2 linked regions of the Mytilus edulis genome follow. Each later gene encodes a partner of the first gene's protein in a complex. Links are inferred from orthologs where the notes say so. Each region holds a gene or a part of one and is shown on either strand. Other genes may lie near its edges. The genes, in order: protein lin-9 homolog and histone-binding protein RBBP4.

What was found.
Region 2: protein lin-9 homolog (region 1) and histone-binding protein RBBP4 share a complex: the UniProt entries of both Caenorhabditis elegans proteins name them as parts of the DRM complex. The link is inferred for Mytilus edulis from reciprocal best matches to the Caenorhabditis elegans genes lin-9 and lin-53.

Annotation. Positions count from the first base shown.
Region 1 is NC_092350.1:21,150,449-21,154,385, forward strand, and holds the start of protein lin-9 homolog, read right to left. Parts: upstream 2,639-3,937; 5' UTR 2,624-2,638; coding exon 2,572-2,623; intron 1,333-2,571; coding exon 1,298-1,332; intron 434-1,297; coding exon 332-433; intron 1-331. UniProt on the Caenorhabditis elegans protein: Synthetic multivulva class B (synMuvB) protein. SynMuvB proteins are required to repress the induction of vulval development by Ras signaling and probably act by forming the multiprotein DRM complex that represses transcription.
Region 2 is NC_092353.1:79,520,847-79,524,783, reverse strand, and holds the start of histone-binding protein RBBP4, read right to left. Parts: upstream 2,845-3,937; 5' UTR 2,772-2,844; coding exon 2,708-2,771; intron 1-2,707. Other genes in the region: ralBP1-associated Eps domain-containing protein 1-like, read left to right, coding at 3,253-3,402. UniProt on the Caenorhabditis elegans protein: Core histone-binding subunit that may target chromatin assembly factors, chromatin remodeling factors and histone deacetylases to their histone substrates in a manner that is regulated by nucleosomal DNA.

The sequences.
Region 1 (3,937 bases):
ATTTGATTATAATTGATAAAAAAATGGTGTCGGGCTGCAAAAAACGATGAAGTTTTGAACGATGGCGGAAGACAATTTAACGATGGCGGAAACAATTTAACGATGGAGCAAGACATTTGAACGATGGCGGGGCGCCATCGTTAAACAGGCCATGGAGATCCCTGCTGTCTAATTTAGGGCAGATGGTATTAAAAGTTTACACTTCTTTATTATTACATAGCATACTGTATTTATATGTATATAATTATTTACAATTTTTTACATCATAAATGATGTTTTGCATGAATTTAATAGTCTTCGGTGAATAAATTGGACTAATTATTATACTGACAGCAATAGTTCTGGGTTGTTTCCTTGGTGACTTAGCGGGAGAGTATGTTGTGTCTTCATCATCATTGTAAAATCTTTGATTCTTTTTCCTGATCCTTGATGTCTAGAAAAAGAAAATATACACACATTTCACTTACATTAAAATGTTATTATGCTCTTAAAACACCAATGGCAATAAAACCTTCACATCTGTTAGCATGAAAAATCATGAGTCCTCTTTGACCTTATTAACTTATTTATTGTTTCTGTTAACTTTATCCACATCTATTCTAGACTTCTAGCAATTGAAAAGCTTATTGTAAAGAGACTTTTCTTTTCTACATTGGCTAGAGGTATAGGGGGAGGGTTGAGATCTCACAAACATGTTTAACCCCACCGCATTTTTGCGCCAGTCCTAAGTCAGGAGCTTCTGGCCTTTGTTAGTCTTGTATTATTTTAATTTTAGTTTCTTGTGTACAATTTGGAAATTAGTATGGCGTTCATTATCACTGAACTAGTATATATATTTGTTTAGGGGCCAGCTGAAGGACGCCTCCGGGTGCGGGAATTTCTCGCTACATTGAAGACCTGTTGGTGACCTTCTGCTGTTGTTTTTTTCTATGGTCAGGTTGTTGTCTCTTTGGCACATTCCCCATTTCCATTCTCAATTTTATTGTCTATTGTTAAAGACCTTATGTTGACCTATAAATTTCTCAAAGTTACCATAAACATTTTTTGTTTGCATGATTTTTCTCCAGGAAGTAAATGTAAAGAAAATTTAAAGATAACCCTTTGTCATACCACTGATCATGCTTGTATTAATAGAAATTTCTATATATATATGTATATACCAAAAGAAATCCATATTTTCATGAATAGTACATGTATACCATTGCAAATCTGATAGCAAGCAAGTCAAATCTTGGTGTCAACGATGTACTTTTAATCAAAATAAATGTTAAACTTGTGCACAATATGTAAAACTTACTCTTTTCATTGGAGATCTGTATGCATTTCCTCTATCTGTAAAACAAAATCATATTTACATAAGTATTAAAATTTGAAAATACTGCCTTAAAATAATAATTTATATGTAGAAACATTGTTCATGTTGTTGCTATTAGGTGTTCAACAGATTTTACCATGTACATGTAAGATATTTTGCTACTGAACACCATGCATTACTACCTAACTATTTGAGATCTGTGGCAAATCACAATAATGTTTTTAGTTTTTTTACTACTTTGACCTTAACCGTAGCCAAAAATGACCCAAGGCAATCATCAGTGCATCTGCACTAGTCTGATAATATTTGTACTAGACAGGCGTTATCAGCTACTGCTTAACATATCAGTCTGTGATACACCTAATCAGTTTTTGTCCCCATTAGTACTGGACATCACAGTTTCCTGTATAAATGTTTGAAACCACAAAGGAAAAGTGATTGTTGAATGACATCATAAGTTCAAGTGTTGCAGTTTCCCAATACAGCAATAGTGATACTGATGATTCTGATAGGGTCCTCAATGCAATGATACATCTTATTGATATTTGTCCGCCATTATTGGACATCAAAAAAGTTCCCCATGAATTTTGACGATTGTTGTATGGCGTAAAAAATTCAAGCAGGACAGATTTCCAAAATATCACCAAGATGTATGACTAATGGCATTATTGTCATACTGAGTAACACACCTTATCACTATTTGTCCACCATTACTGGACATCACACAGGTTCCCGTAAAATTTTGACGTCATAATACAAAATAACTGACGCCACAATAGAAAAGTGACAAGCAGCACACACTCTCGGGTCAGCCAGGATTAGCGATAAGGTGTATGGTGACGGCAATAGATGTATTTACACTTGTATGCAAGTTTGTCCGCTATTACAAACGTAGAATCACACAGGTTCCCGTAAACTTTGACATAAAAATTCAAAAACTTTGACATCACAATACAAAAGTTATTGTTGCTTGACGTCAAAATGTGATTCGGAGGCGATCTAAGGGCATTTGAAGACAAAACTCAGCTAAATACCTAAGTGTAAATACGTTTATAGTGTACACAGCTATCGTCCAGAGAATCTTTCAACATTGTAGCTATAACAAAACTTGTGAAATTTTACTAAGGGAGTAACCATAAATTTATTCAATGATCGTCTGGTGCATTGGACGTAAAAAAAACATTTTTAGTTTTACGTTGTTGAAAAAAAAATGGTATGATTTTCCTGTTCAGATTATAATTAGTGTTTATTTGTACCCTCTGAACCAATTTTAAGATTATTATGCAAATGGACATTTATTATATGCATGGTTTGTTGGTTTTATTTGTGACATTTGCTAAATCCTATTTAAACTTTGTTCCATTTTAACTCACTTTCTGAATCATCCGCCATGTTTGGGTCGCGCCTCTTTTTGAATTTAAAAAGGGGAGCTAACTCAAATTTCCCGCGCAAAAAGACTTCTGATTAGTTAAACTCAAAGTCACAGACAATTTTTTCGGCCCTCGCCTTCATCGACGCGACATGCCCTCTTTGAATATATTTTTTAATTATTTATTTTAATCAGAGTCGGCAGATCTTCTACCACTTTATGTTCGATATTGGATCCTGCGACTACTATAACACATGTGTTATAGACTAGTAGTCTTAGATTGGATCGCAAAGCAATATCATTCCAGAGACTGACTTTCCATACTGTAAACTGTCATCGATAAACCTGAATAAAATCAGAGACATACCATACAATAATAATATAATTGTAATATACGCCTCTGTCAAACTGTTAAAACTGCTAAAATAACTTGAATGTGGTTTACTATTATATTCACCCTTGAACTTTAAAAGCATTAGAATGATAAGTTTAAAAGTCCATGTTCCGCACACACATTATTAGAAGCTAGGTGATTGTTAGCTATTTTCATTATTTCTAAAAGGCAATTATTCATGTTGGTAATAAACACAGTAAAAGGCTTTCAGTAATTGTCTATCAGGTTGAGGAATATGAAAAAAATTCTCATATAAGTAAACCCATACATAATAATTAAGAACGCAGCGATTTTTTTTAAAACGATTACGTACATGGCAATTTATAAAAAATCATGACAGACAGAACGCAAGCAAGCTGTTTTATTCATCAAGGTTTTTTTTTAATTTTCATTTTAATAAAAGGTTAAGATTGGTTAACATTGACACCAATACATGTCTTATTTACTATTGATGTGCAGTAGCAGAGGCGGCTGATTTGAAGAAAAACATAGTTGATTATATAAGGAATCATTGAGGCATGGCTGTAGCGGGCCCCTCCTAGGCAATCAGTGGGCCCCCTTATGAAAATTTCTGGATTCAGTTGTATACTATTCCTGAAAATATCGAATGAAAATTTCTGGATTCAGTTGTATACTATTCCTGAAAATATCGAATATTGTTAGCATATTGAAATTTCTATTGACACAAGTCTATATTGCAGTAATGCAATTCGTTCCGAATGAATCCGTTCCGAATGAATCCTTTTTGACACTTACTATATCTTACTATAGTTACTCTCAATACCTCAGTATACTATGGATTCGTCAATGACCACGTGCCCTACGTGAAAACTACACTTTAGAAATAATTTTAGACTAA
Region 2 (3,937 bases), on another chromosome or scaffold:
ACATTACTGTTTATTTTTCAACTAGAACATGTAAAATGGCGAACTTCCGGTTTTGGCTTATATAATATCGGAATCAATTTCCAAAAAAAAAATTGCCAACCTATTTTTTAAAAGGATGTAACTGGAACCACACTTATATTTTTATTTGGCCTCAGATGTATACAAGTACTCCTCAGTTTCTTTCATATTTTGGCAGGTTCAGTCCTGGATGCAAAAAGTTAATTTTTTACCCCTGTATATACAGTGATGTCGTTAGAAGCCGGCAGCCGGCGATTTTCGCCGGTTATTGTGCTTTTCCCGCCGGCTATTTTTGCATGAGTAAAAAAAATTAATAAGATAAAAAAGATAATCAGGTTAATATTAAAAAATAATTGTTCAATGCATCAGCTTCCACGATTAAAGTCCGATAAACAAGGATGTAAATCAGTGTTTACCTTTGACTAAATATAGTTCACGTAAATGCAGTCCGCTGATTGGTCGTCTATTTAAAGTCGGTAAGTATTGTAATGTTTGCAAGGATAAAAAGAGAGACGTTCCGATGGACATTATGACCCTGTTTGGTTTTTGCTTCAAGAGGCTCAAGAGAAGGAATAAGCCAAAGATGACAATAGCATGTTATGGAAATTAATATATCAGTCAAATAAAAGAAAGTATAATATATATAATGTTGTCAAGAATCTGGAAAACAGCACTTTTTGAAGTTCACATTTCAAAGCCCACGACCACGTGGTGTCCAGAGAATGAAGGTCAATAACGAAAGTAGAATATTGTCGACCACAAATAATTTTTAAAAATATCTTTTATAGTTCAAAAGGATTTTAGTTTACTGATTACTGAACAGTTAACAAATAAGAGAAAATAAAACGACATAGCTTGACAACATGTTTGAAATACGTGTACAAGTCTTATATGAGATAAAAGGGGGTCATTTGTCACTAAGTACGTACGCAAATAAATCGATCAAGATATTTAATAAATTCGATTATTTTTGAAATAAAATTATAATATTTCACCTATTATTTCACAGGCACTTGCCTGTGTATTATTTACATATATTCAAGAACAGACTTCCTTAGTTGTCTTACAAAAGACACCTTCCCAGAAAAAAATATAATATAGATTAGCCTTGCCAGGACTACGGATTCTCATTTAAAAAAAAAATCAATGTGATTGAAGTCAACAACAAAAATAAGACAAAATTAACATTTTTCCAAGCATCTAAATCACTCTCAGGTATGCTCAGAATGCAGGAATTTTAGTCTAAATTTTCAAATCTTTTTGGGGATAGCCAAGGACGTATATTATGTTAGTTATACGTCCTTGGGATAGCATACGATTTTATAAAATATAGCACCTCTGTAACAGTTTTAACTTTGAAATCGAAGCTCCAGCTGCCTACTAGTCAGTGAATATTGTTTTTAATTTTGTAAAAACAAAACCAACACTTTTTTAATATAAAATTAAAACATTTATAATGTTCTCAATGTCACAATTACAATTTTCATTTAAAACTAAATTATTCAAGTGATAATTCAAACCAGAGACAATATGTTTCTATTCAAACTAAGATTTTTGGATTCTTTCAGTTCAAAAATATTTACTAGCAGTCAACCTGCAGGAAAATGCACAAAAATGTATATTGGTCCATCAAGATGATCAATGATGTGATCACATGTACAGAAAATTTACCCATCATGTTGCTAATTTTAGTTAATCATTTACATTATCTTCAGTAAAAAATGATGTTTTCAGAGGTCTGAATAAGGGTCTAGGACACCCCCAGAATGCAGGATTTTGCACCATTTTAAAAAAAAATCCTGGGGCCCTTGAGCGGGCCCCAGACCCCCCGCCGTAGTAGCGACGAGCAAGCTCGTCGACGCGAACGGCTTTGCCGTCCGCATGTACTTGCGCTTATTTTAGAAATTCAGCCTGCTTCTTCAAAACTTAGTGACATCACTGATATATATAAATTTCTGTTATCAATTCATTTGTATTTCGTTTTGATAAGAGCCAAAGCACAGAATACTGCCAATTAATAATCATTTGATTTATTAACAAACAAAAAAATTCTGGAACAAAATTTTTAAAATGAAAATGAAAATAACAGAAATATAAATTTTAGTGCCTTCAAAGTTTTATCAAGAATAAACATAAACAAGAATTTTGAATTATTCCTGGACTTATATCTTATCTTATATCTTCTGTATTATGAAAAATAATGGGATCCCTCTTTTACAAAAGTTGATCCAAATATAATGACCCCCCCCCCCCCCACTTTTCAAGTTAAAGAACTTTTCTGTATTCTTTTCTGCAACATTAAAATGCCTGCTTAAATGTGTGCAAATATTGCTTGGAGTCTGGGAACCACAATTTGTCAAACAATTTCTTGAATGCATGCCATTGACATTGTGCAATACTATTCACTGGACATTCATTCCATCCAAAATTATAAGAATATAAGGTAGGTCCAGATAGCTACAGTTCTATAGCTAAACAAATGACTGTCGAGAGCTCTTGTCAGAGACTTTAAGGTCACCTCCCATTGGTTGTTAATGTTTTGTAGACCGGCCGGTCATTTCCCCCTTTTTTGTTTGTTTCCTTGTGTCAAGGGTAGTTGCAGTCTCACTTAATAGCAGAAATAAGTAAACAGCTTATGAAAGGTATAATAAAAATAGCTCATTTAAGGCTTCTGACAGACAATGTTTACCACCGTCTTTTTCTGTCATTTTCTTTCTTTCTGTTGATCTTTCGGCACAAAGACTCATGCGCATCAATGGCGCCAAATTTTTAATAATTTACTGCGATTCATTTTCTATAGTAAAAAAAATAAATTAAAGAAGCTAGCAGTTTTTACTGATAACTATTGTAATATGATAAGTAATTATTTTAACTTTATTTCAATATGATTATATAGATAGCTTATTTCGAAATCCAAGTAAATAAAGACAATATCGAAATATATTTAATTGATGCGCCACAGATTATTTTTTAATTATATTTTCTATTAATTCCGAAATGATCGTTTTGTACTCTGAATATAATATGCTAAACTTTGCATTATTTAAAAAAATTCTATTAATATTATTTCATTTCTAATTTTGTGAAGTGTGTATCACACTTGTAATAAATTTCCAACATGGTGGATAATCGTTGAAAACTTCCTGACTAAGTCTGTTTCACAAAATCTACTTAATTGTAGACAACTGACACTGTTAACATTTTGACATAGTACATATATGTGTTTATTCTGGCATGGAAGGGCTCAAACTAAGCCAGCAAGAACAACGAAATTATGGGGAGTTGTTTCAATTATGTGATGTTGATGGGACTGGCAGGATAACTGGGATAAAAGCATCTGAATTATTTCTGTCATCTGGTTTAGGACAGGATGCACTGTTGCAAGTAAATATACAATAGTATAAAATGTTAGCTGATACATTTAGATAAAGATGTTGCTAAGAACTAAAAACTTGCTTTAGCCTGATTGTGTGACAAACCTTACCTTACCTCTGTATCTTTAACCCCCTTTGTAGAGGAACCATACGCTAGTATGTATAACTTGTGGCTTTCTAATATACAGTGATGCCTCCACCAAATGCTTTGAAGTGCTGAGACTATATACACAGTGAGATCCTATCCACACACAATTATATTACAATTCCGTTATCCTGTATTTACAATGTTTCTGTGTTGATTAAAAGTCATGTCACATACTTTAAAATTCCTCTCTTTCTTTATGTATACACTGGTATCACATTTATACCCCTAACCGATAGATGTATTCTTTAAAAATTAGTATCGATCTTTAAAAATATCAACAGCACTATTCCATAATTGCGGTAAAAACGGTAAGAAGATAAAAGAATGATGAATGCCTCTTCCTCATGAATTAAAAGTTGTATTACAAAGTAATTATCTAAAAGTTATATTCATTTCT